3 linked regions of the Astyanax mexicanus genome follow. The protein of the gene in region 2 purifies or fractionates together with the protein of the main gene of each other region. This does not show direct contact. Links are inferred from orthologs where the notes say so. Each region holds a gene or a part of one and is shown on either strand. Other genes may lie near its edges.

Region 1 (10,991 bases), about 64 Mb from region 2:
AATGACAAATATAGATAAAAATACATATGCAACTAATTTAGATTTTTAATCATGATATAAATAGTCTTGACAAAATATACATATTTACAGAAAATGTGCTAGCTAAAAAAATATTTAAAAGCTGTGAGCACTGACAAATTTTTACATAACCTTTTCTGATATTTTAATACTGTAAAGAGAAAGAAACATAATCTGGCATAAACATTAAAGCAATGTGAGTAATGTTATATGTGGGTATTGTTATTTATAGACATTTTGCCCAAACTTTTGATGCAGATTTTAGCAAAAAGGTTTTAGTTTTTTTTTTTTTACTATATTAATTTGTATAAACGTTTATTTCATAGATTTGTCCTTCTGTTTTCTTTACAGAACACAGATTCAATAATATGTGTAAAACTGGGTAAAAAATTAACCCAGTGGTGGCTTAGGGTAATCATATACAGTATTAGTGCAACTCTATTAACCCCAGTCTGAACACCTTAAAAACAATCATAAACAAATAAATATAAAAGAATGACCTTTTATAACTGGTAGATGATGGAATGGTGTGGAGATGGGGAATGTGGAGACTGTAGAACAGGCATTATTTTCGTACATATGCAACTTACTTGCACTTACATTTCTTTGAGTGATTTAAAAAAATATATATTTGCTGGTTAAAGGATAGATCAAAGAAATGAAGTGGCATGAGCCAGAGCAGGAACGTTCAATGTTTCTCGTGTTCTGTGTTAAAGAATTGCTTTTGCTCCAGCACACCTGGGTCTGATATTTTGTTGGATCTGAAAGCTCTCAACAGATAATTCAAGAGTGGCCAAAAAGAGTCTACAGCTGCGTTTGGAATCTATCCCTATAACAGAAATAGTGCACTCTGTAGTGTGTCAACTATTTTGAAGTGCTGTTTGATCTCAGTAGTACATTTAAACCCTCAGATTTTCCACTTGAGATAGTGACTATGTAGTAAGTGACCACCACAGAGCAGTTATTATTTAGGTGATTGGTTGTTAACAGCACTGCAGTGGCCCTGGGCTGTGCTGCTGGAGTTTTTAAACAGTGTTCATTCTCTGTCCTCCACTCTATTAGACACTCCTACCTACCTGCTCCACCTTTTAGATCAGAGACAGTAGCTCATCTGTTGCTGCAGTTTCTGTTGGTCTTCCTCTACGTTCCCACAGGACGCTGCTGGCTGAATATTTCTGGTTTGTGGACTATTCTGTCTAACAGTCACACTGCGGGGTTATTGTCCAGCAGCTCTTCTGCACCACCTCATCAGTGTTACTACAGGGCTGTGAATAACCGACCAGTGAAAGACTTGAATAACGTACCTAAAGTACTTTTGCTGAAGTAGCAAAAGGTCAGTTTAACATGGCTGTCTTGTACACATGAACCCCACTGTGGGTTTGCAGAGAAATATACTATGTTCAAGAACGTGCTAAAGCATTCAATTATGTGCTTAAACGTCAAATAACATTCTGCGTAATTCAGTAATTTGGTGCATATAAACACTGAAATGTCCAGAAATGTGATGTAACATTCAGTAAAATTCAGTGTAACATGCTGCAGTAATCACTGACACATTAAATACATTGCAGAAGGAAAAAAAATACAGAACTACATTCTGGTTTATTGTTTTTTTTATTTTGAAATCTTTAAAGAAATTGCAACCTCATCACACTGTCTTATTCTGGACGTTGAAAAAAAAAAAATCCTACTTGCGTTTCTTGAACACTGAAAAGTAAAAGTTCAACAAAAATTAATTGTCAGTTAAATCCATATCAATTATATTAAAAAAAGATATAATAACGACAGCAAATATCAAAGTTTGGGAAAAAAGTAAGTGCAATATTCATTAAATCCAGACTTACTTTTCTTTTTGTTTTTCTTCATAAGCTTCTTCTTCTTCTTTGGTCTTTCCACATCCTACAACATAAAAGAATAATTATTTACTATGATAATTTAGATTATTATTCATTAACAGACCTGCTCCATCTGAGCAGTTTTGAGAACATCACTGCTGTGTAGAGATTATGCTCTCATGATTTAAGAGTTTATGGTTTATTATGAGTGATTTTAATAATGTTTTTCAATGTGCTCACCGCTGTCTGCCTGCCAGTCAGTGCCGTGATGTCACTGAAGTGTGTGATGTTGCCCAGTTGTGAGGTCATTCCCACCATCCGCCTCTTTTTGGCCTTCTGTTCTCGGGTAAGACTTAGACGCACCATCATGGACTCCTCATAGTTCTTCCTAAAGAAAGACAAAGAACAGTGATCTGTAAACACTGAGGCCAGACATTGCAGGCATCATCACAGAAAAAAAAATCAACCAAGATGGGGTTACAGAGGAGCTGCTTCCCAGCAGGGAAAGAGAGAGTGCACAGCAAGTTATGTTATGCAAGGATTGTACCTCCAGCTTTATAGAGCCAACACAGACAGCTAATACAGTACAAAGTATATTAATCTGTTATTCATCTACAGTAACTCTATAATTCAGTATATTTTTCTTACCTGTGTCTGTCCTCTTGTATCTCACGATCAGTCTGGAAATCTTGGCGGTCCCGGATCTCCTCTGGAGCATCACTGTATTGTCGCCGGAGCTCCTGGATGACGGAGCTGCGCAGAGCCGCTTTCCTCTGCTTATCAGCAAAGTCTTTCTGCCGGTCCGACTCGGTCATATCCCCGCCTGCAGTTCAACAGACAAGACAATTTTACCAAAGTGTATGTGATCTGTTGAGCAGCACTCAAAGCCACAGTCTCACCACAGTGATGCTGATTAAATACTTCCATAAGAAACTGATTTGAATTTGAAAACATTATTTGGATTATTGGATTATTACTAAACCATTAACTGAATCATGCATTTTACCATAATGCATTGGGGCAATCTTGGGTGGTACGTATTTCCTGCCAAGTCCTGTTTTCTGATCATCTTTTTCATCTCCTGGTTCATGATCATCATCAACATCATCATCTGAGTCTTCAGCTTCGCTGAGCTGCATAAACATAAAAATACAATAACTAAATTTGGAATCCAAATGTCACATGACCAGGTACAGGCAATTAAAGGGATCTGAGTGGGTTTTACCTTACTGGCGAGATTCTCAGGATTTGGACGAAAGTGTAAAGGATCATTCGCGGCTGTAACAGAAGATACAACTCTAGTTAGGAGGCATATTCATATTCACTATTCTTTTGTGATACACAATGTATTCCTGCACACATCTGACTTGAAACATGATGAGATTTTTATTTAATCCACAAAAGTAGATGAAGAAAAAAACGGATTAATTAATGAAGCAAAAGGGATAACTTGCAAAGGTGAAGTGTGAGGTGACCACAGTGCAATTATAAGATCAAGGATAGGAACAAAGCAGATTATTCTAGTCTTATATATTCCATTTTAGGAACAATTAATTGAATTATTTGTGTTTAAAAATATGGGGTAGCAATTCTCACTCCTATGTTTCAAGAACATAAATCTCGGTATTCATGTTCTAAGAAGTGTTTAATGGCTTGAACAAAGGAAATTAGAGAAATCACGCCCCAATATCAAACATGTAAACCAGGAGTGTCCAATCTTATCCTCAAAGTATCAGTGTGGCTGCAAGTTTCGTTGGAAACCCATGGTTTAATGACTAACATACCAGTGCAGTCTCTCAGCCCTTTATACCAGTGAAAACAATAAATCTTACCCAGGCTGCCAGTGACTGCTGTACGCACCAATTTATCAATCTGATACTTCAGTTTCTGATCCAGGGGACGCATCTTTTCCAGAACCTAAATATTATTAAACAAACAGAGAAAATATTAGAGCCTTTTGATACAAACATTGAAGAAGAACATGGGCCCTGTTTCTCCAAAGCATCATCATCAAAAAAGAATTGTATAGTGCTTTTTACAACTGATGACACAAAGATGCTTTACAGAAACGTGACAGTCTTAAGAGATACAGTGCCAAGTTCTTAAGTTAAAAAAATAATAAAATAAAATAAAATAAATAATTATTTGTCCCTTATTTCTGGAGACTAAACAAGTATCTTACTGTTCTTATGGTGACAAGCCTGTGAACAGCAGCACTGTCCTTCAAACTGTGTCCTTCTGACTTCAAGCTGATCAGATGAGTAAGATCTTGTAGGTAAAACAGTAGGAGGTGATATCGCAGGTCCAGAAATGACAAGCCCTGCAACCAGAACAGTGTCAGCAGAGAAACTTTAGCGACAGATGCATTTATATACATTCAGTAGAGCTCTGTTCTTACCTTGGACATCTGATTAGCCTGTCCTTGGACTTTCTTTATCAAGTCCCAGACATGGCTCGTCACAGAAACCACCTGAAATTAACAACAGGATTTAATAAAGCCAGTCATAAAGGACGTTCCTCAATCACCCCACGTGGATTATAATCAGTATACCTGTTAACAGTATAACTGTTTTAACTTTGTTTTTTTATATAAAGTTTTTTTTTTGCATAAAACATTAAATGAAAATAACATGACATAAGAGAAATAAGCTGCAATACAATTATTATTTTAAAGGATCTGGGCCTAGTTTCTTAAATCTTAGCATTATTCTTTGTTAGTTATGTTCATTTGTCAGGAACAGCAATGATGTTCTTGGGTCAGTTTGACCTAGTGCATGTTTAATTATAATAACTAAAGATGTCTCCATTTTTAAACTCCATTATCATAGCTTTATTACATGCTAATTATTCTATCAAAATTTAGTGCAATGGTGTTCCTTCCTTCTAACAGATAATGGTTCAATTAGGATAATTCAGTCATTTTTTATTAAAAAAAATACATATTCAAACATAATTGTTTACTGCTTTATTACCTTTAAAAGACCAACAAATAAAACAAAATAGTTTTACATAACACTGAACATAAAGTTTTGTTTTAGTTTTTGCAGGGGGTGGTTGCAAATATGTGAGATGAACCATTTTCTTTTTCTTTTTTCTAATTTTTCCCATTTTCTCCCCAATTTACACAGCCAATTACCCAACCCACTCATTAGGACTCCCCCTATCACTAGTGATGCCCCAACACACCAGGAGGGTGAAGACTAGCACATGCTTCCTCCGATACATGTGAAGCGTGCCACCGCTTCTTTTCGAGCTGCTGCTGATGCAGCATTACCGAGCAGCCAGCACGCTTGGAGGAAAGCGCAGCGACTCTGTTCCGGTACATCAGCTCACAGACGCCCTGTGCTGCAGTCATCAGCAGTGATGTGGGGAGAGAGCGCCATCTACCCACCCAGAGGGAGCAGGGCCAATTTTGCTCCCTCTAACGCCGGCAGCTTGATAGCAAAGCTGCATGAGCTGGATGAACCATTTTCATAGTATATGTTGATTACACTAATTAAGACAAGCAGAAGAAATTTCATACTGAAAAAATATTTTTTTTACTATGTTTACTTGATCTTTAAACTTTAAAACAGGACTCCTAGAATAAAAGGAGGGTTAGGAACATCCTAACTTAGAGAGAGTCCTTAAAGTGAAGCTCGCTTGACCATCTAAAAAGTCATCTTAGTGCTAAGAGCCTTTTAGGGAAGCCACCCCTGGTCGTTTTATGTACCTACATATAGAACATTTAAGGCGCTGTTTCAGCAGCTTCTGACCTGTTCTGTGAGTGTGTTGAGGAGCTGGACAGCTTTGGGTAAATCATCACCAACACAGACCTGAAAAAAGTTAATAATAAAACAACAATATGTTAACTAGTTTTCATTTATAAATCACAGACAAATCAGGAGGGAATAGCAGGTAAAGGTAAAACTGTTGTTTAGCGTTTCCTCGCTGGGAGAGAGAGTCTGTATTCAGGTAATGTGGGTAGTTAGTGTAGTGGGATTTATACAGCGCTGGGTCTCCTCTCTGCAGCTGCTCCTCTTTAAACAGTAGCTACAGCGCTTCCATCTTCTATACAGTTTTACCGTCTTATAGATAAGACTCTAGTCGCGCTCGCCCGTTAATAATCAGCACGTTTAGCTCATTAATCCGCTTTATAAATACAAATTTACCCACAAACACAACAACTCACGTTTTGTACACCGTTGGCCGCCATCTTGAACTACGGCGAGCTGTTTAGGACATGACGGACAGCTGGTCGGTTTTCCGTTGCGCGGTTTTGCTGTTCAGCAGGAGTTAGCTCGTGGCAGTAGTTTTAGACAGAGAGACAAACTAAACCGATTAAAGTATTTAAACTATTAGTTTGTAAAACAAGCGTCAAAAGTGTAATTTTATAAGGCTAATATTAACATTTACTCCTTGACACAAGGCACATTAAAAAAAAAACATTTATATTTATGTTAATTAATATTTAAAACCCTGCTAGAAAATCCAGGTCAAGACTAGCTGGTCATTTAAATAATAAAACAAAATAACATACCATGTTTTCTCTGGATGACCAGCTGGTCTTGACCTGGATTTTTTTGCAAGGGACTCTATTTAGCATCTTTAAACTACAGCAGTGACAATGAGCCAAGTTTTTTGTTTTAGGGACAGCTTGTGTGTCATGAGAGTATTGCTAGTGTCGAGTTACGGTCGCATCTCGATCTTGATCTTTCAGTTTAAGGTGTTAATGTTTAAGTCAGTATTTTTCTCGTCCTGCATTCAGATAAAGTTAATTGTGTTTAATATTATCGCAAGTCTTTAAATAATTTTGGCTCACTCAATTAGTGATGTGAACAATGTAAAACAAGCTATAGGAGAGCTAAGGGAAGTCGCAAGGCAAGCGTGGGAACGTTTACGGAACTGGACATGGATGAGTTTCCAGAGATGGCTCGGAAACCATGATTCTCCTGGAGTGTTCTAAAGGTGGAGAAACTGGTGGAGCTGTGGTGTGAGCAAGAGTGTTTCTTTGACGTGTCTTCTTCTAATAATAATAATACAAAATTAATAAAATAAGCTCTAAAAGTATGTAGTTGCAGTTGGGCAAATATAACACTTCAAGGTCCCCATGATCTTAATTTGTGACTAAAACTTCTGTCAGTAAAAAGTCTGTGACTAGTCTTTAGATGTGAGAGGTTGTCAGAATAAAGTCTAAATTTAGTCTGTTAAAAGTTTTTTCAGAATTTTTTTTTCGTAGTGTTAGCATAAGGGGGCTTCTGACTGACTGCACTCGTCCTTGTTGCAAGTGGCCTGCATCTTTCTGTGAGTGAAAAAAGAAAGAAGAAAAAGAGAACTGGTGAGTAAAGCAGATAATAGCAATTAAATATATATCACTAAATAATGTAATACTACTAGTCTCCACTTATTATTTTAATGTTTAACATTATCTAGTTAACCTAGCTAGCACAACAGCCCATAACCTGTTCAGGTCTGCTGGCTGTGAAGTGATTAATCCAAAGTTACTAAGTTAAGATAAAAAATTGTACAGATTTATTCTAAATGACATTTGCTCTAAGCTGTTTTTGTGTAAACTGCTGTGCTATGTGGGCAGTTTATGTGTGTTTTATTGTATGTTTAATATCTGACGTGCAGGTTTTTATGATACAAAAAGGCTGTAAATGATGTGTTTATGTTAGTATGTAAGAACTGTTGGTGTCACATCTAGAACATGATGGCGATATACGCTGGTTTGAGGGGACCGTGTGACCAATTTTTGCCTACAGGGCCCCAACAGACTTTTAAAATTGTCACTGGTCATTCTCATGCAAAAATCAGAGATAAACCGATATATACACATAAAACACATAAAAACCTTAACATAAAATACACATACTAATACAAATTAAATTCTTCCAGCTTCCAGTTATGATTTAAAATATCACAGAGCGCACTCTCATATTTCTACACTAGATGGCGCTGCATTCCTATTTGTGTGTATGTGTGAGTGGTCAGTAGATGCGGTTCAGGTTAATAGTCGCTGTAAAGAAGCAGCTGGAGGGTGAAATAAGGCCGAGACAGATGGAGAGTGAAGAAGGATTGTATAGGAGAGATTTACTCTGATTTATCTAATTTAGTAATCTGACTAGAGATACACATGGAGAAATAAGATGTGTAAAGTCAGGCAAGTCCGTTTCTTGCCACAGATGTAAAGTATTTTGTACAATTAATTTGTACTTATTTTTTGTCTTTTAAAATCAATCCCATGTTTTTTCATTTAAAGAAAATTTGACGTATCAAGGGCTTTAAGTTTAACTTGGTTTAAGGCCTGAAAGTGACTGGTCCAGATCACTTCTACACACTAACCCTGTACACATATTTTATATCGTGGCCTCCTGGTGGAGGTGCTTGTGTCACTGTTCTCATTTTTCTGTCAGTAATGTCTAATTTAAAAAAAAAAAAAGATATATATATATATATTTATTTTCTCTGTAGTCATAAAACCCATCAAAATGGTTAGGATGAAACTGGCTCTTATCAGGACCGCCCCAGGAAAGGAAGATCAAGAGTTCCCTCTGTTGCACAAGAAAGGTTAATTAATGGTTAAGGTTAATTGAGTTACCAGCCTCAGAAATTGCAAGTTAACATCACCACAAACTAGAGCACCTAAATGCTTCACAGATTGAAGTCTGGATGACTTCAGTATTACAGTTTTTGTCAATTGCTAATATACTAAAATGATGTGCATGGTATAAATATTAACTATCATTATTAACTGTCATAGAAAGGGCAAAACCTGTTCTCAAGTATCCAGCACTCTTAACACACAGATTTTGCAATTCAAAACACTGAACAATGCACTGATCCACGGTTCTCTGTACAACAATCAGACACAACAATCTGACTTAAAGTCACTTAATTCCATACAGTGTTTGCTATTTGGTGCAAAAGTATGATTCTGATAATGCTATATGTAGTTTTGCTTGCAATGCTTTATTTTGGACATGAGATATTTGGAGTTTGCAAAATTGTGTTTTGGCAGTTGAAAAAAACTGCAATTTACATTGTATGAAACACAAAAAAATAAAAATATTGAATGAGAGGGTACTTTTGGCTGGTAATGTATATTTTTCACATATTGCATGGTTCATGCCAACAATAAGTTAAATAAAAGGGAAAAATCTATATTTTACATGTGTTATAATGCAAACATACAAGGTAAATATATTGATATATATATGTAAACATATTTTGTTCAGACAGCTGATCATAATGAATTTTGTTGAATTTATTAGGAGCTGAAGGATTATGAGATTTTGAAAGTATTTAACTGCTATGACAGTGTAAAGTGTGTGTGTGTGTGTGATGCAGGTGTGATGTAATTAGTGACCATTCAGAGTGGACAGTAGGTCAGCATACTTAAAGAGAGCAGTGTTTTAACTCATGTTAGAGTAGACAGTTTCGAGCAGTGGTGGAGCTGACCTTCAGGAGACACCGTTACTGTTAAACATCTCTACATGACAGACCTTACAGGAAACACACACACACACACACACACACACACACACACACACACACACACACACACACAGATAATCAGCTAAATGCTTTTACAGTAATAAGCCCACCACCACTGTGCTCACTGTCTGTAAACAAAAGGCAGAAACAGACACATGCACACACACTATTTACAGGCCGTAGTCTCATCAGTAAATGGCCTTACAGATACTCCCAGACCCCCTGTGCTGTTGGGGGTCTGGCTGGCTGGAAAAGGTGTAGTTAAATTAGTCCTTAGCTTCAGAGTCATTTACTGGATTAAAACCTCATAGACCCCTACTTACCCGCATAGTAGCCCAAAGACCTCCACTGGTGGACAGCAATCTGCAAAACCCCTTTTAGACCTGCACTAACCTATAAAGACCCACGCAGATCCACATAGTCCCTCCTAGACCAGCACTGACCCACTCACACACGTGCACAGTCCCTCCTACACCAGCACCTGCCTCACACAGACCTTCACTGACCCACATAGACCTGCACAGTCCATCGTAGACCAACACTGACCCACACAGACCTGCACTGTACAGTCCTAGTAATGTCTAGCATACTTGGTCACTGACCCGTATTGACCACTGTTGACCCTCGTAGATCTGCACTGACCATGACCGACTATTGTAGATCTGCACTGAACCATGCTGCCCCATGCAGACCCACATTGACCATGACTGACCCTCATATAGACCTGCACTGACCCACACAGACAATCACTGACCCCTATAGCCCCACAGTGAGGCTCTCCAACCTATCATATGGTTTCTGGTAACAAATCAGCAACACCTGTAACTTGGATTATATCAGTGAGACTTGGGCACCCATGACCCTGTTGTTTACCATGGTCCTACTTCTGACCATTTTTGCTTAGTACTACATGCTCTGACACAATTATCTATACATCACAATCTGGATCAGACTGCATGCTATAGTATTAATGTGTGTACGAGTAAATACGAGTAAATGATTGGCAGGTCAGTATCTGCTTGTTTAATTAAGGACAGATCTATTGATGTGTTGGAATAAGCAGGGGGGTTAAGTGGGTTGAAAAGTGTTTCAGTGCCACTCAGCACGTTTCTCTAAAGTTTACAGTAAACACAGTCCCGCCCACCACTTCCCAACACTCAGCAGATGGAAATGAGGAACACCTACTTACCTTATCCACACTCTTCAGTCTGCCCCCACACTGCTCTATGCTCCCTACACTGCTCCTCACCCTGCCTCTCACACTGCTTTTCACTCTACTCACATCTTTTCACTTCATATTCATGGGCGGCAATTACTCACAGAAGATTGGCATAACAGCCGTGAAGAGGAGCTTAAAGCAGCTTGTCAGAAAGTGGGGTTAGTCCAGCACAGCCCTGAGGGCATGGTGATCAGGATCAGCTTTTAATCCTGTATTTTCACAGCAGAGGAACTTCTGCCTGATCTGATACACCACAGGCCCTGAATAGCCCTGGATTGCCCTTAATGATGCTGACTTTCCTGGTGGTCCTGAATGAGAGATTTCCACTGCATCTGATCAGTATTGATTAGCCTAAATAATGCAAAATACTGTATTTAACATTTAACACATTTTCTGTTTCATTCCTGCACTTCAAACTATGAAATTATTTTGTATCAAATATA
Region 2 (10,991 bases):
AGGGAAGAGATTGACAAAACATAACATTTTTTTATTAATTTTAGAAGGTATTAACATGCAATTTCTGGTTCAAGTTCATTTATTTGACACGTTTTACTAAATCTATTTTACTAGTCTTAATAAAAAGTGAAATTGCAATTAACAGCAATCATTAATGATTTTTTAAAGTCAAAAACAGTAAAGTGCGTACACAGTATGTCCATTTTTAATATTTTATATTATATTTTATTAATTTTAAATATGATCCTGCACTTACCTTATTGGTCTTTCCCATGGTGAGCCGCGTCTTATCGTACCATTTCTGCAGGGTGGCGTCTCGGTAGGGCTGAAAGGCCACAAATCGCTTGGCCATGAAATCTGGATAATCTGTCATGTTCAGCTTCCGCTTGGGAGGTCTGTTTAGACCTGTGTGCCTTTCCTCTTCTTCATCTTCATCTTCATCACTATTAATCTCCTCATCTTCTTCAGCTTTGCTATATGGGGAATAGGGTCAGAATTAGAGTTTTCTTTTTTCTTGTATATTTACACTAATTATACATACCTTAATTTCAGCTTTAAGCAAACGCAGTAAAACCGAATCAATTTAAACTTTTTTTTTTTGTCAAAAATACAGCCATATTCAGAAGTTTTTCTACCTCAGAATTTTCTGCAGAACCTCAATAAATCATTTAGTTTAGTAAAACATCTCTTCTTTATTAGGGATAACTGGATCACTTATGTTTAGTATAGTAACATAGCTAAGTTTATTATTTCTTCACATATTGGCTGTTTTTCTAACTGGAAGAGAGTAACGTAAGCTCAGCTATCTTTGTTTATCAAAAGATTGTTTTCCACTGTGTAAATTTCGAGTTAGCTAGCTAGATGTTATTTATTTATTACAGCCGTGATAATAAAATGATAATGCTGAGATAGCTGCCTAGCTAGCTAACTAAATGTGTGACTAGAACAGCATGGATGAAAAATACATTTTTGTATATAATGGCGTTATTGACCTAAATGTATGACTAGAATTGCACTGCTGAGGTACATCTATGATTAAAAAACACTGCTGGGGCATCTTATCTATCTTAAAATATGAATAATAGGGCTGAAAAAAAATTGATGACTAGAAGTGCACTGCTAGGATAAATATATTGTCCTTTTCTGGTACTTCTGCTACCACATCTAATTGTGGTTTTTAAATTGCTTTTTGTTTGCAAGACAAAAAATACATTTGGGCTATTTATATTGACTGTAAAAATAACTGTTTGGTTTCAATCAAAAATCTTATGTTCATTGAATGTCTAATATTAGTAATATTAATATAATATAAAAGGAATATTAAACTAAAAAAATATATAATATAAAAAGAAGTCCCTAAACCTAGCTACGGTGTATATAAAAGTGACAGGTTTTGCTGTGGTGTGAGTTACCTGTCACTTCCCCAGGTTTTTCCCTGTGAGATCGCTCTAGTGTCAGGGTTCTGGTACAGCAGCAGATCCTGCAGCTCCAGCAGAGATCTCTGCAGAGCCTTCAGGGCTTTGTGGCCTAGCAGAGACAGAGACAGGGTTCACACAATATTTCATTAACCTCAAAGGACAAACACATGGCACTGTTTGACGCTTCACCTTCTTCCATAGCAGAAACAAAAACAAAATGACAACTAGGTAAAAAAAAATAAAAAGAAAAAAAGCATCCTATCTCCAAAGCTTCCCTGTGAAGCTGCCAAATGGACAATATGACATGTCTCGAAAACCTGCACAAACAAACAAGCCACACAGCTTCTGCTGGTCTCTACGTCAGCGGTTATTAATTCATGTCTTAAACCCTGAATAGAAAAAAAAAGCAATCCTGTAATCCATTATTATGGAGAGAGAGAGACGGAGAGAGAGAAAGAACGAGAGAGAGAGAGAGTGTAAGAAGGGGAAAAAGATGGGGGAGGGCACGCAGATCCCATCATCTTCAACGCTAATCAAAAGTACACGAGCTCGGCAAAAGCCCCCGCCCTCTCTCCCATAGCAATGCGCTGCTCACAATTCAGGAGGACGGCCCCACATCAATCATTCGCCGCCGAGAAGACCCAGGCAATAAATATGCAAATGAGGAGCAGCCAGTCTCTGAAAGCAGGGCGCTGTGCTTAAGAAAGGAGACGAGCGCAAATGTATTAATTGTTCGTAGTCAAAAGAATCCTGAGAGTGTGGCCTATGATTAGAAAAGTACGAGGGATTCTGATTTTCTGGCTTTAATTCACTCTAAACAAACAATGGAAGTTTAAAAGGCAAGGCAAAATAAAGCTTTTAAATTACATACATATGCATAACAATGTGGACAAAAGTATTGGGACACCTACAGACATCATATAATATGGATTTGGTACCTCTTCTTAACAGCTACACTATACTGCCAAACCATCCAAACCATTGAGTTCAGGTCTTCCAATCACAGCTATGGCCACAGGTGTTTAAAATCAAGCAGCTACGCATGTAGACTGCTTCTATAAACATTAGGGATGGAATGGGTTGCTTTCAGGAGCTCAGAGAATTCCAGCGTGGTACCGTGGTAGGATACCGTCTGTGCAAGACCTGTGCAAGTCCAGTCATGAAATTTCCTCACTACTAAAGATTCCACAGTCAACTGTCAGTGCTATTATTGTAAAGTGGAACTAACTGGCAACAAATGCAAAGTGGTAGGCCAAACAAATTGACAGAGCTGGATCAGCAGATGCTGAGCCACATAGTGTGTCACTCACAGCTGATGGAGGAATATCTAGGAGGAAAGTAATTTCACCAACTGCCTTGCTATTACAGAACCACCCTGGAACTTAGTAAACTCATCCACTCTTTCACTAATGTTTAAAAAAAAACATGCAGACTGCATGATTAGGGGCTTGGTTTTATACACGTGAGAAAGTGACTGAATGTTTAATTATTGTCGCAAAACTTTTCTCCATACATAATCTGGCAGATGTTCTTTACACGATGTCCAAATTTGTTCACGATCGGACCAATTCCAAAACTTCAAATGACTTGGAATAACATATGTACCAGTATATATGATGTTGCAACTGCACTGTGAAATATGAAATTGAAACATAAAAAAATGGTAAAATGATTAGACAAAAACTATAAATATATATATATGCTTGATATTTTTTTAAATGTGGAAGAAAACGATGGAGAGACAGGGAATTACTCGCCAAAATAGTTATTCATAAGGTTTTTTTATGATTAATCATGTTCTATTGCACTCTTGAAATTAAACAAATATGTTTTACGAAAAAAAAGTAAATTATGTAATAGCTAGACAAAATATAAACATTTCAGAATGTTTTTGTTACAATATAATACAATGTCTTCATAGAAGAGGTTCCATGATATATTTTCACCAATCTTCGGCACAAAACAAATGACAAAACTAAAAAAAAAAAAAATACTTCCAACCTCTGTAAATATGTTCCACTTACTGTTTTTCAGCGCTCCAGCATACTCTGCCCCACCCTTACTCTGAAATTCTGGGAAGGTGTTAGGCTGTGGAAGTTGATTGGCCATTACAAGGGCTTTCTGCATTTTGATTCGTCCTTCAAGTAACTGATCCCAAAGAGCTGTGGAGTTTGAACATAACAAAACACTAATCATAAAACACTGATCATTGCACAGGGCAACAGCTGTAGTTTCGCACACATACAAAAAATAGCATTATATCAGTCACACACTCAGATTTATTAACAAATAAAATAATTTATACAAGTCATTTATTTACTATATTTATTATAATATATAGGGAGGCTCACAAAGTCTGCCCACTACACTACATCTAATTCATAGTCAGATTAGATAATAACACTTACCAAGCTGACTTTTCACTGCTTGGCCCTTTTCCACCTCTTCATCCACTTTCTGCTTTGAGAAGGTCATCACACCTCCAGAATCATCTTCATCACCCTCCTCCTCCTCATCCTCATCGTCTTCTCCTTCCTCCTCCTCACTGTCCTCTTCGTCCATCTCACCATCCTCCTCAGAGTCACTCTCTCCCAGGTCGTCCATTCCCTCAGTAAACTTCCTGAAGTCTATCTCTTTAGGGATGTTTAGGTCAGTCCTTTTCATCTTGGTGGCCAAGGAGGACATCTGTGAACTGTCATCCTCGTTTAGGTCCTCATCTTCATCATCCTCATCTTCCTCCTCATCACCTTCTACACTTTCCTCCTCATCTTCCAAATCTTCACCTAGCTCTTCATTGTCAAGATCTTCATCATCATCATCATCATCATCATCATCATCAGCTGAGAAAAATCATTCAAATAAAATAAAAATACATACATTATTAAAACAAACAAAAAATCATATCTGATCGGTCTTTTTACATACCTGAACCATCAGCCTCTTCTCGCAGCTGTTTGCGTGATACAGCTTTGCCTTGATAGCGTTTATCAGTGTCTGCCAATAGAGTGGGGGCACGCTTCCGCAGCCCACCAGACTGGAGATCCTTGTCGTCATCATTACCACCTTCATCAAACTTGTCTATAACTCTGGCTTTGGTTTCTGCAAAGACAACAGCATACAAAGGTTAGAATTAAATAAGAACAAACTGCTGTCTATTGTGAGTCTTAGGGATTTTAGTGTGCCTACGTTCCAAATAAAATATCGAAATTTGACACATCGTATCTAAACAATAATATCCAACAATACAATATATCGCTGTATCGAAATACAGTACAGCTTGTTCATTTCAGATGTTTCTGAAGGGAACAGATATGACATTTTAGGGCATAATGAAGCAAAAGCAAAAATGAAGTAAAATTTGCATTAGCCCTCTGCACTAGTTTCTGCATTCTCAAAAGTTCTGAAGCTAACTTCTTTGGGATGAGCTGGGATCTTTTCTAGCTGAACACAATTTACTGACATTACAACATCTAGTACTGCAGCACAGGAGGCAGCTCCACAGATTAATGAAGCAGGCCCGGGACCAGAAAGTCTCTAGTTCAAGCCTAAGAACCAGTTTCCATATCTGAAATGCCCTGTCCATCAGCCCTGATGTATGGTCTTGCTGCCTTAATTCCTACTTTGCTAAAAAAAAAAAAATCAGCTTTAGACCAGCTATTCATCTGGAAAAAACACCCTATGCTGGTAGGCTAGCTTGTTAACTAGCTCTTGGCCAGCACAAGATGTTTTTTCCGCTAGTCTTAGCTTGATTTTTAGTAGGTTATATAATATAAGTGTTAAATGTGAAGGTTTAAGTTTGTTTGCTGTTGTACTGTATCAGTTTATTTGTTTTCCCTTCCTACGCCACACACCTATGCAAAGAGGTGACGACATAATCACTAATACACACATAAATAGCTTACAAATAAAACATAACAGATAAAAGTTCAGACGCCTTCTCATTCAATGTTTTTTCTTATTTCTATACTTAATCCATTTTCTACATTGTAGATTAACATTAAAGACATAAAACAATTATGGGGCACATATGGAATTATGTAGGACACAGTAAAAAGTGTTTGAATTTCACAATCTACTCAACTGAACACAGCTGAGAAAGTGATTTGAGGAATTCCTTCAAGACACTGAGAAAACTTTTCCAGGTGACTCTACCTCATGAAGACACTCTGAAAATACCAACAGTGTGCAGATACGTCTTCAAAGCTAAGACTATGTCCACATTACAAGCCACATTGCTCAAACCCCATTTTTCACCAACAACAACAAAAAACTCATAGCTCATAGCAAACATTTCGTCTGAAGTACATGTTCAGGTCGAGGAGGTGAAAAAGGCCAGGTGGCTTGCTTTTGCTGTTTTTGCAGCGATAGCTACACAGATGCACCAAGAGATGTGTGGGTATGAGAGAGAAGCACGAAGTGCAACCCATGGATTGGATACATATCCGATTTAAAAGCACATATGGAAGTGACCCAAATATGATTTGAAAAAAAATGGATTTGGCACATTCACACAGCCATAAAAAATCTGAGCTGAGCCACATTAAGCAAAAAAATCAGATTTGAGTCACTTTAGCCTGGTAATGTAAACGTAGCCAAAGTAACTCAAATCTAACTTGAAAAAATCTGATTTGGCATGTTCACACAGCCATGAAAAAAAAATCTAATCTAAGTCACATTGAGCAGAACATCAGATTTCAGTCACTTCAGCTTGGTAATGTGAACGTACCCTAAAGGTGGCTTGTAAGAATAATCTAACTCTGATCTGTTAAACACTTTTTCCTGTGTGGATTTCATATATTCAATATTACATTTATAATGTACAAAATCTTAAACAGAAAGAAAACACATTGAATGAGAAGTAGAGGTCCAAACTTTTGAGTGGTAGTGTACAGGGTCTCACAGTCTACAGCTGAGCAAATATGAGCTTTAAACTGGATACGAGCTAGTTATAGGGTTGGAAATTATATTAGTTAACCTAGCTAACCTAACTAGCTAGCTAACTAGCTTACCTTACTAGCTACCAACATACCTAGCATAGCCTAGCTAGTGCACTAGGTAGGGAGTAAGGCGGAATGATTAGGGACCAAAGCCAAGACAAGAAACATTGTTAAAAACGTTCAGTAGACGTTCTAGTTATTATTTTCCCTTAAAACATTCATAAGAACTATTAGATAAAGTGATTTGTGATTTGTTATGTAGCTATAAGTAGCTGGTTAGGTTAGCTAGCTAAGTAAACAGTGTCTGTTAGCTTTAGCTAGCTCTCATTAGACAGACCCGCACGCGCACTGCCATTCACAGCCACATTCTCCACTCAGCATTTAATACCCGCCGCCAGTAAACCAGCCAAACGATGAGCGAATAACCCGCCAGTAACGCACCTTCATCCGGGTCGTCCTCGGGATCTGCGAAGGTCGGTAAAGGGTTTAAAAGCTCCTCGAGCTGCTGGGATATGGAGGCTGCCATGCTGCCTCTTCAGAGTCTCTGCGTCATCACGGAGAGACAGCCGGGTTCAGACAAGGGCGGTAAAACCATCCGCACCAAGAAACATGTGTGTTTGTGTGCGCGCAGCTACTACAGAGTAGTGGTAAGAGGCATCTGTTATGAGAAGGGTGGTACAAAATTCAGAATTCAATTGAAAAATACCTCAAAATTTGAATTGAGATATTACATACAAAACAGATCATTAAAACTGTAAAACCTTTAAATTGTGGGAAATTATAGGACCGCACTTAATTGTAGATTAAATTAGACATAGCAATTAAGGTACATGTACACAATTACATAGTAAACAAAACAAATCCCCTGACCTAAACCCAACTGAGATGGGTGATTTGAGGTGATATGAGATGAGCTGGAGCCTCACAGCGTTCAGTGTTCATATTCACTCAATTCTGGGTTCAGGAAAAAATATATAATAAAGTTTGTATTTTCACATTAGTGAGAAATATTCATATATTATCACTGATGGTTATTAACTTCTGACTATTGAGATTTAACTTTAACACTATCCCTAACTCCCATCATAAACTTTTTTATACTTTGGTAGCTAAAGTTTTAGTAAATTTAGCTTCTTTTGAAGTTATTAAAACAAAGCTGCAGTTATTAAAGAGTTTAACAAGCACATATAATTTGTCATGTTACTGTATATGATATTCCATAGAATAGCATTATATAGACTTTGTTGTTTGGATACATTTGTATCTGTTAGCTATCACCACTAATCCAAATTGGATATAAGCAATTGTCTTGTTTATGGTATAAGTTATTATTCCTGTGAAAACTTCCTAATTAAATACATGGAGCCCTCAAATATTGACTGGTCAGAACAGTAAAGGTAAGCTGGCCGCATTCAATGAAAGTTATTTTGTATTTATTTTTTAAATGTTATTCTGAAATGGGCATCGAGTGGTCCAGCGGCGAGTGGTCCAGCGCTGACACTATGAGCGGGAGGTCGCAGGTTCGAACTCCAGCTCATGCTGCTTTGCCATTAAGCTGCCGGCGCTCAGAGGGAGCAAAATTGGCCCTGCTCCCTCCGGGTGGGTAGATGGCGCTCTCTCCCCACATCACTCCTAGGGGTCTGTGAGCTGATGTACCAGAACCGAGCCGCTGTGCTTTCCTCCTGTGATGCTGCACGGCAATGCTGCCTCAGCAGCAGCTAGAAAAGAAGCGGTGGCTGGCTTCACATGTATCGGAGGAAGCGTTAGGGAGTGTTAGTCTTCACTCTCCTGGTGTGTTGGGGCATCACTAGTGATAAGGGGAGTCCTAGTGAGTGGGTTGGGTAATTGACTGTGTAAATTGGGAAGAAAATGGGAAAAAGTTAAATAAAATTATATAAAAAAAAATTATTCTGAAATTAACTAAACCTGGTAAAATGTGTCAATAGCATTGTGTACCAAGAGGGCCAGGAAAGGGTCAGTGGTAGCAGTGGCAGTGGTTAGAGCACCAGGTCTTTAATGACAGGTTTGAGGTTATGCTTAAGAATTCTGAGGTTGTCCTTCTTTTACCTTTTTTCATTTACTTTGTGGAATGTACCCATTCAACTGACTACCAAACAGCTCCAGAATACCATGCTTACCAGCAACATGTAACATACAGTATGCTTTCAGATGTAAATATATCTCTGGTCATTATGGTCAATCAGAATGGTCTTTGTCTTATCTAACTTTTATGGTCTTGTCTGTAGGCAGAGAAACGGTACCAACTGCTTTCAGTTCATGGCAGCTCTTTGCCTTGGTGTTGTTTGGGTTGTTCCTGACAATCCGGACCAACATTCTCTCAGGTATGGTTGCCATGTTAGATGGCTACATCTCCTAGTAACTTGTACTTACATGCATTTATTTAAACTTATGATCTTCAACTCTGCAGTCATTCCAAGAAACAATCCTTGCTTGTGTAAATCTGTGACTATCCTTTTCTGATCTTCAGAGAAGTGCTGTCAAACAAATCCCATGTGGGCTTAGGAAATCTACAAGCTACAACAGGAAGTTAAGAAACCTTGACAAATTGAACCAAATTAGTTATAATTATAAGACTATATAAATTTTCAATAGACAAATACATTCCATGTTTATTAGCAGTGTTAGCCTAGCATCTCATGTTGAAAACTGAAGGAGCGAATATCTGATATTAAACATGTTTTGGCTACCTATGGGGAAAATGATAAATTATCACCATTCTTTTATCCTTTAGAACATAATTGAGTATAACTCCAGCTCTAGTAGCTCTAAAATAGTTTCAAATATATTTAGGAAATAAATATGTTTATATTCACAACATATATAACACCCTTTAAAAAAATCTGCAATTGGTTTCATGAAAGAAATCATCATCAAACACCTGAATTCCTATTATGTTGAGTATTTGTTTTTATTTTTTATTGTGCAAACACAATATCATACAAATTAGCACAGTGAATCACAACTTAAATTTAAACTGAATGAATACAAAAGTTTGGTTGTTCGCTTGAGGAAAAAAAAGTAATCATTCTTCATCTGCACCAAGATTTTTTTTAAATAATGCTGATATTTAAACCCCTGAAGAAAATAGTCGTAAACAGTTGACTGCTTTTTGTCTACTACAGGTCACAGCTGAAATTGTTCTCATAAGGTAGACTTTGTCTTACAGTTCAAGCCTTTTTTATTTCAAATAAAGGGTTTAGAACTCTGTTTTAGGTTTTACCTTTACAGACAAACTCTGAAATTTGGTGAAACTTGGGAAATAATGTAACTGCCCAGTTACATACATGTTTATTTGGGTTTGAAGAAGGGATTCCATTTCGGAGTTGATATAACAAAACCGCAAAAGGCAATCAGCTTTGCGATCTTTGATTATGATACATGATAAACTGATATATTACAAACATAAATAGTGTATAAATGTTGTCTTCTATAATATGCCAGGACAATCAACAGTGCTGCTGTAGGGTGCTTGTACACCTTTTTGACATTCATTTCATAAATACACAAATATAAATTCGCAATAAACCAATTAAAGTGGTGCAATACAGTGGCCTGCTTGTATTTATTGACATAAATATATAAATATATTAAATAAATAAACATAAAACCAAACAAAATAAATAAATATATAAATACATAGATCAACTTATTGAAACATCCATATTAAGATCACAACCGAAAAAGTACATTTCCAGGCCACCCTAAAACCTGAGTCCGTTTTGTTGCGTTTCTTCGGCCTGAATGTTCATAATGCCCATGGGCTACCATACAGTGCCTTCACTCATTTCTGAAGAGGGCTGGGAGAGCTGGTTGGTGTATCCGTTGGTGCTGAGTGACGTTACAGAGGTGAAGGGGACACCCATGTCTGTGGAGATGGTGCGAATGGAGGCAGGCCCGCTGGGCTCCGGACTGGGGGAGTCCCCGGGGTGGTGTGTTACCATTTCCCCGAAACACTGGCTCTCAGCAGCCGGGTGATGAGCCGAATGATGATGGTCCATGCTCCCCAGAGGGGTGCCTGTGGGGCCAGACAAGGAAACATAGCCTAGATCATCTGGGGTCTGAGCCTGTGAAGACGGAGGACCCTGGGGGAAGTAGTCATAGTTGCTTCCTGGGCCGTAGTATTCACCTTGATAATCTGGTGGGACAAATAGTCAGGGGTGAGGGCCAGCGCATATCAAGATGTTCTTAATTTAGAAGCATCAGATATTGTATAATATTACATTTTATATTACCTTTTAGGCCATATATTGCTGATGGTTTTTGTGTGATATTGATATGTAACTTGAGCACATAAATTACATACACGTATGTAAATAGTACAATATTGTGTGTAAAAATCTAAAAACAAATTCTATCTGTTGAAATACCATTTAAAAACACTAATAACATAAAAAAAATCGAAATGTACAATAATTTCAGATTTTATTAATAGCATTATTAGGGATTGACAGTATGTACAGTTACATTCCAACACCTAGGTTATCTAATCAATCTTTTATTGAAGTAAACCAGATGCTGGTGGAGGAAGTGAACAAATCCATACAGTGCCACAGTGTTCACTGTATTCTTCTTACTCTATTCTAACTTCTGTTCAACCTTGGTAATGAGGGCCCAC
Region 3 (10,991 bases), on a different chromosome or scaffold from region 2:
TTGCTTTTACTTCACGCTCAGTTCATCAGGTTTAGATCAGGGGATTAATAGTTTTCTTTTAATATTAAATGAAGAAATACAGAAAAACGCTGAATAGGAAGGTGTGTCCAGACTTTTAACTGGTACTCTATATAGATTTAGTAAAAGCTAGTAAAATTAACTGTGATCATTACCTGATACTGCAGGGCATCAAAGCCTTTGAATATGAACTCAAACAATGTGTGCAGATTGTCTGGGCTGGGCGACGTAACAAAGATGTTGGAATATCTGTAATAAACAGATCATACAGTTTAATATGTTTTAATCAAACATTTGATTAAAGGTGATGTGTGCCACTAAACAATATACAGAATACCACCACACACCCGAAGGCCACAGCTCCGGCCACAGCCAGCCCCAGAGCTGCAGACTTGCCCCGGCCTCTGGCAGCAGTGAGGGCGACAGTGCTTCTCAGAGTCTTTTCAGATATCGCTTCAATGAACTTTAGCACAGCTTTTGCCTGAAAATCACACATAGACACAGAATAAAATCATTAAAAATATGATCCTGCGTCTCGCTGCCCGAGGGACGCATCTATACATCTTTCCAAGCTTTATCTCATTTATTTCCTTCTATTTTCATGTTTCGTACATAAGGCGCACTGGATTAAAAAGTGACACTAGTAAAAATGCAAACTAGAAGGGCATCACCATGTCTCGCCTCTAATTCATCAGATCACACAACTGTATTAAAAAAAATAAAAAAAAAAACTTTTCTTTCAAAGTCAAACGAGTGCTGGATGTTAATCTACACAGATTTTTCTCCTAAAAACTGTTTATTTAGTTTGGTAAAGCGCTTCGGTTTAATTACAGTAAGCTTAGATTTCCAGGGTAAGTCAGGGTGATATCAGCTAGAGGTTTGTCCCACGAAGCTTGTTTTAACACAGTAAGGCTACAGTCTAATATACTCACTTCTGAACAGCACTAGTGCTGCAGTTAGTGGCTAATGCTAATGCCTGACCGGTACAATTCATATATGTAATGCTCACTGGATTATACTGTCCATTTTTGGGAAAATGTAAGTATTTAGGTGTGCCTTATAGTCCGAAAAGTATGTTAAATAAAGGGAGAAATGTTTTTGTTTCTTTTTATAGGAATGTTAACTAATAAAATGGCTTTTTTCCTCAAGTCTACTTGTGTAGATAATGTATTTGATGTGAAATGATTTGGATCCTTTGTGATTTTAGACAGACTGTCCTGGCAAGTGAGACGGAGGACATGTACTGTAGAAGCCTCTATTCCAGTGCGCGTGGAGAACGTGCTTAAATGTTTTGACTGGAAACGTAATCCCATGCAGGCGTTAACATGGCTATAATTCTTCTATTTAACAGATCACATGGCTGTGTTCCAATCCAACAGAGCAATTAGTCGGATTATTACAGTTTGTAGCATTGGGCTAAACAACATCCAGTTTGCAAAGAGGTAGTCAGCAGAAGATGACATGTCTCTCCAAACCATCACTGATTGGTGGAAACTTCACTCTAGACCTCGAGCAGTTTGGACTGTGTGTCCACTCTTCCTCCAGACCCTGCTCCCTTAATTTATAAATGAAATGTAAAATTTACTGATGATCAGTGATGGTTTGGAGAGACATGTCTGTCATCTGCTGGTGTTGATCCACTGTGTTTTATTATCAAGTCTAAAGTCAGTGCAGTGTCTTACAGCACTTCATGCTTCCCTCTGTTGACAACTTTTATGGAGATGCGGATTTCATTTTCCAGCAGGACTTGGCACACTGCCAAAAATAAAGTTTATTTTTAATGATATTCTAATTTTGCACAAGTACTTTTGCTGAGCGTTTTATTCGTGTAAAATATAACTTAGATAAAAGCTCTTTCAGCCGTACCTGGTCCATGGTTTTGCAGCAGTCCACTAGAACACCCACGGGTTGAGTGTCCTGCAGCGATTCCTTCAGGTCCTGCAGCTCCTGCTCCCCTGACGACTGACCCTCCTCCTGTAGGAAGAGCCACACAGCATGAAGGACAGCAGTCCAGGTAAATGATCAGGACGTGTTATTGACAAATCATACCTGATTTTTAGGTGGGACAGGTTTGACATTTGCAATGTGCTTGGAGATCGGCAGAACATTCAGTTGGTCATCGATAACAACGCAGGTCTGACAGGAGGACAGGGACAAGATAAACCTGTGAAGATGAAATGGAAACAGTCGGTTAAATGAAAATGTTCTGCATCACATCTGCTGAACATCTTTAGTAGGGCTGCACGATATCGGAAAAATTGTACATTGCAAATGTTCTTTTTTTTTTTTTTTTACTATATATTTTGCAATATTTAACAATGCATGGCCCATGACATCACCAGCCCCGCCCCCACCTGCGCGCTGTCTCGTGTCTGAACCGACCATGAGCTGAATCAGCACCAAGCTCTCAAAACCCAAGAAAAACAGCACAACAACAGTGAAGCCTTTAATCAGGCTTTTTAAAAGGTAAATAAGCGTGTATTTCTGGGATTAAAAGTGTGAATTCAGCTGTAACTGACAGCTGTGCTGAACTGAGGTGCACAGCTTTCCACACGTGCATTTACAAGCACACACCCAACCATGTGGATGGAGGCCGTGCGGTTACCTGCTGTTTACTCCTGCCAACACCCACCCTCCCACCGCCCCCTTGAGCTTCTCAGGCAGCGGCAGCCTGTCACTCATACAGAAACAGAGACAGCGCTGTGTATCTACTTCTTGTGTCAAGAATTAAAACTTTGCAACGTGTTTGATTTAATTGCCTTAAGTGACCTCGCACATCCTAACATCCTAATGATATTCTGTTATACAGTATTTTACACACCTTTCATTAAACCGTCCAACAACGTCCTGATGGGCCTCAGTCCGGTAGCGGGAATGAACATCCTGAAAAAGACCACAGACAATCACAACCAACCACAACCAGACTCTTTAACACTGGACTCCAAATCTCCAACAACCAGCAAGACGTTTACCATGGTCATTGTATAGAGCTGCTTCAGTGAGTTCATGGTCCTCAACAAAATCACCACAATGCCTCCACCTTCCACTGTCTCCACAGTTCTCGCCAGGAGGTTAGGAGTCAAAGCCTCAAAATCCTTTTAAGTAAACAGAAACACAGTCACATCTATCCAGAGTACATGGATTTCATTTCTGAACATAAAGTTGGAAAATGTGACAAACCTGAAGAACACACATGCCGTATGTGTTGCCAAGGATTTTGTGGGTTTCGTTGTAGTAGCAGTAGCGGATGTTGGTGGCAGCAATAAAAAGCTCGAAGGGATCGTCTTGCTTCAGGTTCAGCGTGCCTGTTTTTATCTTTTTCTGCAGCTGTCGCATCCTCTTCTTACGATTACTGCAAATTGATCACATTTTTCAACTTAAAAGTCTACACATTTTCTACAGTGATATTACAACTCCAATTCTGATGAAGTTGGGGAAATATTGTGTGAACAAATAAAAACATAAATTGATGATTTGAAAATCCTTTTTAACCTATTTAATTAAATTAACTACAAAGACATGATATTTAATGTTCAAACTAATAAACTTTATTGGTTTTGGCAATTAATATTCATATATATATATATTGAATGTGATGCTTCAGCACGTTGTAAAGTAGTTGGAACAGGATTGTGTTTGTCTCTGTGTTTCATCACCTTTCCTTTAACACTCAGTATGAGTTTGGGATCTGAGGACACTAATAGTTAAAGGTCTTTAGGTGGAATTCTCTCTCATTCTTGCTTGATGTAGGTCTTCAGCTGATCAGCAGTTCCGGGTCTCTGTTTCGTACCTGCACTGCTGGAACACCTGCAGGATGTGTCTCGGCATTGTCTTGCTGAAATAAGCAGGACGTTCCCAAAAAAGACGTTGCTCTGACAGCAGGATGTGTTTCTCCAGAACCTGGATGAAGCTTTCGGTATTAATGGAGCTTCAGAGATGTACAGGTTCTCCATGCCATGGGCTCTAACATAGCAGTTGTTCACAAAGTGGTGAATTTCAGCCAACCCTTGAGTCTTTTAGAGATGCTCCCTTTTTACCCAATTCTGACAGTCTTTGAGCATTCCTCAACCTTCCCATTCTTTGCTGACCCTGTCCCAACTTCTTTAGAAATTCAAAATGAGTAAAAAACAATTAGCAAAAACCAATAGAGTTTATCAGTTTAATCATTAAATATCTTGTCTTTGTAGTGAACTCAGTTGAATGTAGGTTGAAAAGAACTTGTAGAATCATATGTATGACCACACCTGCTAAAGCCAAGCTCTTTCTTATAACACCAAAGGACTGATGGTCTTGCTCGCACTGTAGCTTTGGACAGCATATGGTGCAGGATGACAACCTGCAGCGTACACAGAAGCAGAACACAGGGGATGTAAATGTAGAAGCAAAGTGTCAGGTCAAACGGTCAGCGTAACATTTAGCAGTTTAATTTTCTGACTGTATCAAGCTAAATTCTAAATGATGAAGAAATAGGTTTTCATCCAACTTTTAAATTATCTAGTTTTTTTATTTGAGCCTTTCCCAAACAGAATTTTAAGAGAAATGAAACGTGGAATCTTCTCTCAATTTTCAGATCGGTCCATTTTCTATCTTGTAACCAAAATATGATGGTATAATAAAAATTGCAAAATGCAAAAATTGCAAAATCTGAAAATAAGATTTTTTTCCCCCCCTGAAATTATGATTGTGAGGGGCAGAAATGAAAAAAAAAATTAGATAAATGGATGAAAACCTATTTCTTGTACACTGCACTACATTTAAAAAAATGAAAATGAGTTTCTACATTCAATTTTCTATTTTTGCATTTAGCCACAAATGGTTCGAAAATTAAATTAATAAACATTACACTGACCTCAAACAATCGAACATGTGATACTGTTGTTTTAAATAACAGACTGAACCCAGACCACTCCTTCAACTGAATTCATTTACATCATATAGCACATTTCACTTAATACTGTATTGGCAACAACCTTGTATAATAAATGTACTAAACAGGGTCACAAAATGTAATTACATTTTAGCAAACTGTTCCAAATATAAAAACGTATGATTTAATGTATAAAAAGATATGTGAACAGTGGGATCTGAAGACACTGTACACACCACACCAACTGAATCAACTGATGATTACATGCAACTAATCTTTATCTGTAAACTACTGCTGTGTTCATTACTGCATAAGTTAATAGTGTTACATTATGAAGTATCAGTATTTTCTCCATAGTGGAGAAACAGCTTAACAGAGCTCTAGAGCCGAGACCCAAGTGAGCAAATCAATGGTGACCATTTCAAGGAAAATTTCAACAAGAACCTTTGAGGTATTTTCCAGTGCACAGCAGCCAATCAGATCACCAGCACAGACCCTGTATCAGTACCAACTACTGACACCATCAGCAACTCGCAGAGAACTCCAAACCCTGGACCTGGAGAACAGTGACCTGCTGCACATATTTTAGTGATGCCCTGCTTTTAACAGCAGGATCAGGATGTTAATAAACTGATCTGCTGGATTAAATAGGTTAATGTGAAGAGCAGAATGTAAACATGCTGCAGGCGGAGGTTCCTCTGAACTCCACGTGTGTATTAGTGTAGCTACAGGAGGAACAGGCTGAGGAATCTAACGTTACCTGATCTCGACCATGATCTCCCACCACCACAAACAGGCTGCGGTGATGAAGCGCCACTCCGTTCTCGATCTGCACCCGGATCCGGTTATCCACCTTCTTCCGAACCGTCGCCATGCTGATCTGAACCGGATCAGAAGCCCTGAGCAGCAGCAGGAGGAACACAACAGCTCACACTTTACTATTTAATATCAGTTACACTGAACACCCGACACTAACACTATAACTAACCCTAAACACTAAACTCAGTATCAGTAGACAGGCTGTACCCCGCGCGCTGCTGCAGTTTCCAGGCTGAACCCTGCGCGGTAAATCTGATATAAACCGGGAGGTAATATTCCTGTATTTACTGAATCAGATCATCTCTCAGCACACGCGCTGCGGCGCTCACGTGGGAACACAGTGCCCGATCTGACGTCAGAACTTCTGCGACAGCGGGAGAAAGGACCCCGCTCGGTTGTGTCCCAAATCAGCCGGGGCACCCTACAGAGTGCGCATTTGGGCTGTGTCCCAAATCAGCGCCGGCCTCGGTTCGACAGCATGTCTGGTAGTATTTTTTGAGCACCAAAATTCTTTTAGTATTTTATATCCTTTACTTTTTCACTTTAAATTCTCTCAAACTGTTGCTTTGTTGTTTTAAAAACTGCAAACAAGATAATTTTCGCCATTCATTTTTATTTATTATTATTATTATTATTATTATTATTATTATTATTATTATTATTATTATTATTGTTATTGTTATTATTATTTTTATGTAGACCAGGTAAGTTTAAAATGAATATTGAATACTTTTGATATAATTTCCTCTCGTATAAATAATACATATAAGTGTTATATGTATTTTCTACTTTTATTCTTCTATAAGAGCCACACCATGAGATCTGCTGTAGTTCTGCAGGTGGAGACTGTCCGACTTTACTTCTCCAACCGTTACCCACACAAAAAAAATTCCATTTGCATATTGTGTCATACGGGGTAAGAGATATGGACTTTGAAGTTTGATGCTTCACTATAGCGCCACCATCAGGCCCATAGGCCTGAGCCCGAGCGCCTGAGTAGCGGGAGGGACTACTACCTGTCGACCAACCGTCATGTCTGTACAACTTACGGTTTGTTCTGTTGTTCTGTTTTATCAGAGAAAAATAATTAAACAAAAAAAACGAAGAACAAAAATGTTCCCGCTCATTTGGTGCTTGGACCCTTTATTATTTAAACCTGTGTTGACTACATTGTTTATTAATGATGTTTACAGTGCACATAATTATAATGGGGATGGGGTGGTATAGTTAGGTATAAACTAAGCAACTTTTTTGGTTCTAAAAATCTATTCTTTGTAAACAGGTGTTTTACAGCTCAGATTAAAATCCATGCTCAACTAAACATCTAAATCTGTTTTACCAAAAAAAATGTCAATAAATAAGAGCTAGGTAAAAGTGGGAGAAATCTTCTTTATGCTGCTTAATTCCAAACCAATTGTAATGTTTAAATTGAAGTTTAGAGGTATTTTAGTGGTGTTTAAATCCTCAATCTACAGTTGTGTTTTTCAGCCTTGGCCCTATAGGTGCATCTTCCTGCAGTATTTAGTGGATTCCTTAGTTTAGCAGGTCCTCTGCAACTCGAGAGGGAAAATAAAGTAATGATTAAATTAACTTAAATCAGGTGAGGAAAGATGTAATGTGTATGAAACATAATCTGAAAAATAACTACATCAGCTGTGCAGTAAATATATTAATCATTTGAGATTTACAAGTGGAGTAACATTATAAAGTTTCATAAAATTACTAAAGTAAAATGTACAGTTTTGTGTAACACTTGTTCAGGCTGTTGTCAGATTTTAAGTAATAAAAAATATTTTATGTTTTTTTTTATTGCAGTTTAGATGAATTCAGATACATTATAAAATATACAGACATTACTGCAGTGAACAAAGCTCTAAACAATATTGAAAGAGTGACCAGTGCGTTTAGAAACAATTCCATACACCCACCGATCAGCCCCTCAATCACAGCCCTCCAGGCATTTAAGTACACTGAGGACACTTTTACACTTCTCCTCAATATTAGTGATACCTGTTTTCCACATTAACATCGATCCACATGCCAAGCCATCTGACCACCTTCACCTGATCTAAAACCTAGAGGTGGTTCCTGTTTCTGTTTAAAGAATTAAATAAATCATGTCTTAAACACAGACAGTTTAAATCCCCAGTCACCTACCAAACATGTGATACAACACATACCTCACCAAGACCCTTTATTATTTCAGCAGGAACATATTAAGAGCCTTATATCTGAAATGTCTGAACAGTAATTATTGTGACGAAAAGTTTGAATAGATGAATTGTGTTGGCGTAGTACAGCAGCAGCATTCAACACTGCTTTCTCCACTGCAAACACTAAATAAGTGCACACGCCATCCTGGATCAGTGAGAGTAAAATACACCATATACTGCATTTTATTTAGCAGAATACGTACTTAATATACCTGTGATAAATTGTACATGTAACACAATTAGAGTTTATGCAACACATCTTTATTGAAACGCTCAAAGCAACATCAATATACAAATTGAAGAGTTGGGGCTTGTTTTAAATTCTTTTTGAGTTTTTAAAAAGAGCATCTTTTGTGAACCTAATAAGAAAAAGTACTTTAGGTGCATCACACCTTTAATTTTATAAAAAAATAAAAAATAAATTAGTGAAAATCTTTCAAGTGCACAATCTAGCTTAAAACCTCAACAGTGGTATTTTAGTTCTTACAGAACTTGGGGTCATTGTCTATATTAAGTGTAGCCCTGTACTATGTTCACCTCTCCAAAGAGTAACACTAAACACAGTCGTAGTGCAGGATAGACAGTCCCGCACTACACTTAAGGGCACTAAAAACGGACAGTATAATCTTAATTTGCTTATTTTGTGCCCAGAAAGTTCCTTACTTTTGAAACATACGTTTGAATGAGTTGGACTTATGCGTTTCCACATCTGACTAAACACTAAGTGCAACTTCATGTCAAAACGGTCTCCAGGACTTTTAGGACCGCATGGCTTGGGCATTTCCACGGGGGACACCGCGAGGACCCGGCCCAGCGGGACGTTTGTAATTCTGCTGAAAGCCGTCCTGCAAAAAAAAAACAAAACAAAAAAAAAAAACACTTAAATCAAGAGTTATTTTCCTCTGGACCAAAACCACAAAAAGTTCATAAACATCTACTTACTCTCTGATAGCTGGTGTTGGAATAGTCTCGAGCAGCACCAAACTGCACCTGTCCATAGCCAGAGTTTGGAGTCCCAGAGAAGGGTGGGCGGTAACCATCGTAGCCTCCTATCAGATTTATATTACAGATACACACATTAAAAAGAAAAGAAATTACAAACATTCTAGACAACAGCACAAGACATTTAGTCAAAATTTATGAAAATGAATTTATAAAGGAGATGCTATACAGAATGCCCAGCCTCTTTATTTTTTCTGCCAACGGTACCGAAAACCTACCCAACAGTGGTGTGAACCAGAACGTGAATTTTCTGTACCGTTACACCCCTAGTGTGTATCAGCACAAAGATAAACCATTTGTTATGCCTCACACGCCTGAAAGACTGGTGTCATTTCTACATGTGGAGCATAATAAATATTGCCCATATTAGTCAAACTTTTGAATGATTTTTTTTTGTTTTTCTAACTTTTACCTACTTCCATGCAGTGTTTCAATATGATACTTCATTCTGGCAGCAGCTGTTTATTTGATGATCAATATAAAGCAAACACAAGAAGACCGTACTGTACCTCTGAAGCTGTTGGATGGTCCTCTGTAGCCGTTGATCACACCCCGGGAATTCCGAGGTCCTCCACGGGACACTCCGCGGCTGTTGTAAAAGGACTGCGGCTGGCGGTTAAAGGTGGCGCCTGGACCCACCGGCTGCTGGGACAGGATTGGGTGACCAGCGCAACTATTCAGAGACTGTTCTTGGAAAGAACCAACCACTGCAGAACACAAACACAAATGACACTGTAAACCAGGTAGGAGTGACTCTTCTACAACCATGCTACGCACAGTTTATAGGAAAATTATATTTCTAGCGTTTGATCCTTCTACTCTGTTACTCCACCATCTGAAGCTCTTTACCTTTACTCACACTGATCTGTCCTCTCATACCCTACAGGTAGTTCTAGACACAGGGGTAATTCATATATGGTAGCTGCCCTTTGTTTCTGTTACAGCCTCATTACTGTATTCAGTATCCAACTGTATCACATAACTCAGGTAGTGTAGCATTACTAAATAAATTCAGACTCAGATTGATCTACTGAATTGCATGTTTTGTTTTTTCAGGGAATAAATCTAATGTGTGTTCTTTGGGCGTGAAAACGTTAATCATACAAGAATCACAAATCATCCCTGGTTCTGGAAAAGAGCGATTAAAATATTTAGACACTGGAATTGAATATGTTTAAATTTTCTATGTAAAATAAAATAGAGTATAGCAGGGGTGGCCAACCCGCGGCTCTTTGCCTGTTCACGTGCGGCTTCCATTCATAATTAAAAAATACATATTCACATTCAACTTATGTATTTAAATCAGTGCTTGAATATTTGTCGTGCTTACATTTGACTTGTGGCCGGACCAAACTAAAGTGCGTTGCCACAGTGATGCTAAACCCCGCCCCTCCCGCAATAAGGAGTACGCCCCAACATCACAACGCGCTGGTGTGACCCAATAGCCACGCTAATAGCTAAATAACCGCTGAAACATGGCAGCATCCGGGGTAATGTAAAGCCAAAGGACAATATGAAAATGAACCAGAGTGGGAGGATTTGTATTTTTATTGAGAGGAAAGTTATGCCAAATATCATTATCATATTTTAAAGCGTCCACTCTTCAGCACCACTTTACCTCACTGCAAGCCAACAAAGGGCCACGAGTTTCCCAAAGGTACAGAATTGCAAAAGCCCAAGCTGAACACTTTAAAGTCAGGTAAACTGTTTCAGAAGTTAACAAAACAGTCACAAACTGTCACGCTTGCCTCCTATCAGCTGGCATGGAATATCGCTCGTGCTGAAAAGCGGTAGAGTGAAAGGGAATTTGTAAAAAGTTGTCTCAGCGATGCCACTGCAGTCTCGTGGTTGGGGTAGTACTGATATTTGTCAGCATGTTTCTGTTCACATTCATAACCTGTGGCTCCTGGTAGTAATGATTTTTTTCTAGCTCTTTGTGTTTAAAAGATTGGCCACTCCTGGCATACTGGAATACAAGCTACACCTATATATATATATGACTTGAATAAACTGTGAAAGGCTACAGCAACAGTAAAACTGTATTATATTCTAGTCAAAATCGGAAAGTTAAT

Evidence for each region.
Region 1: the proteins of aatf (region 2) and ngdn purify together in Homo sapiens (affinity purification with mass spectrometry; 3 studies listed by BioGRID and IntAct, with this or other methods). This does not show direct contact. The link is inferred for Astyanax mexicanus from reciprocal best matches to the Homo sapiens genes AATF and NGDN.
Region 3: the proteins of aatf (region 2) and nat10 purify together in Homo sapiens (affinity purification with mass spectrometry; 3 studies listed by BioGRID and IntAct, with this or other methods). This does not show direct contact. The link is inferred for Astyanax mexicanus from reciprocal best matches to the Homo sapiens genes AATF and NAT10.

The regions. Positions count from the first base shown.
Region 1 is NC_064408.1:89,577,805-89,588,795, forward strand, and holds ngdn (neuroguidin), read right to left. Parts: upstream 6,100-10,991; 5' UTR 6,049-6,099; coding exon 6,025-6,048; intron 5,669-6,024; coding exon 5,609-5,668; intron 4,324-5,608; coding exon 4,252-4,323; intron 4,174-4,251; coding exon 4,036-4,173; intron 3,771-4,035; coding exon 3,686-3,770; intron 3,132-3,685; coding exon 3,079-3,131; intron 2,987-3,078; coding exon 2,860-2,986; intron 2,677-2,859; coding exon 2,502-2,676; intron 2,242-2,501; coding exon 2,094-2,241; intron 1,918-2,093; coding exon 1,863-1,917; intron 1,726-1,862; coding exon 1,706-1,725; 3' UTR 1,614-1,705; downstream 1-1,613. UniProt on the Homo sapiens protein: Part of the small subunit (SSU) processome, first precursor of the small eukaryotic ribosomal subunit.
Region 2 is NC_064408.1:25,956,813-25,967,803, forward strand, and holds the start of aatf (protein AATF), read right to left. Parts: upstream 6,934-10,991; 5' UTR 6,882-6,933; coding exon 6,797-6,881; intron 4,518-6,796; coding exon 4,344-4,517; intron 4,259-4,343; coding exon 3,827-4,258; intron 3,581-3,826; coding exon 3,443-3,580; intron 1,528-3,442; coding exon 1,413-1,527; intron 474-1,412; coding exon 257-473; intron 1-256. Other genes in the region: LIM/homeobox protein Lhx1b, read right to left, coding at 10,138-10,511. UniProt on the Homo sapiens protein: Part of the small subunit (SSU) processome, first precursor of the small eukaryotic ribosomal subunit.
Region 3 is NW_026040047.1:1,199,772-1,210,762, reverse strand, and holds the start of nat10 (RNA cytidine acetyltransferase), read right to left. Parts: upstream 6,063-10,991; 5' UTR 5,760-6,062; coding exon 5,646-5,759; intron 4,355-5,645; coding exon 4,263-4,354; intron 3,371-4,262; coding exon 3,199-3,370; intron 3,114-3,198; coding exon 2,991-3,113; intron 2,902-2,990; coding exon 2,840-2,901; intron 2,183-2,839; coding exon 2,068-2,182; intron 1,993-2,067; coding exon 1,885-1,992; intron 500-1,884; coding exon 366-499; intron 268-365; coding exon 174-267; intron 1-173. Other genes in the region: caprin1b (caprin-1b), read right to left, coding at 8,676-8,762, 8,860-8,966, 9,429-9,626. UniProt on the Homo sapiens protein: RNA cytidine acetyltransferase that catalyzes the formation of N(4)-acetylcytidine (ac4C) modification on mRNAs, 18S rRNA and tRNAs.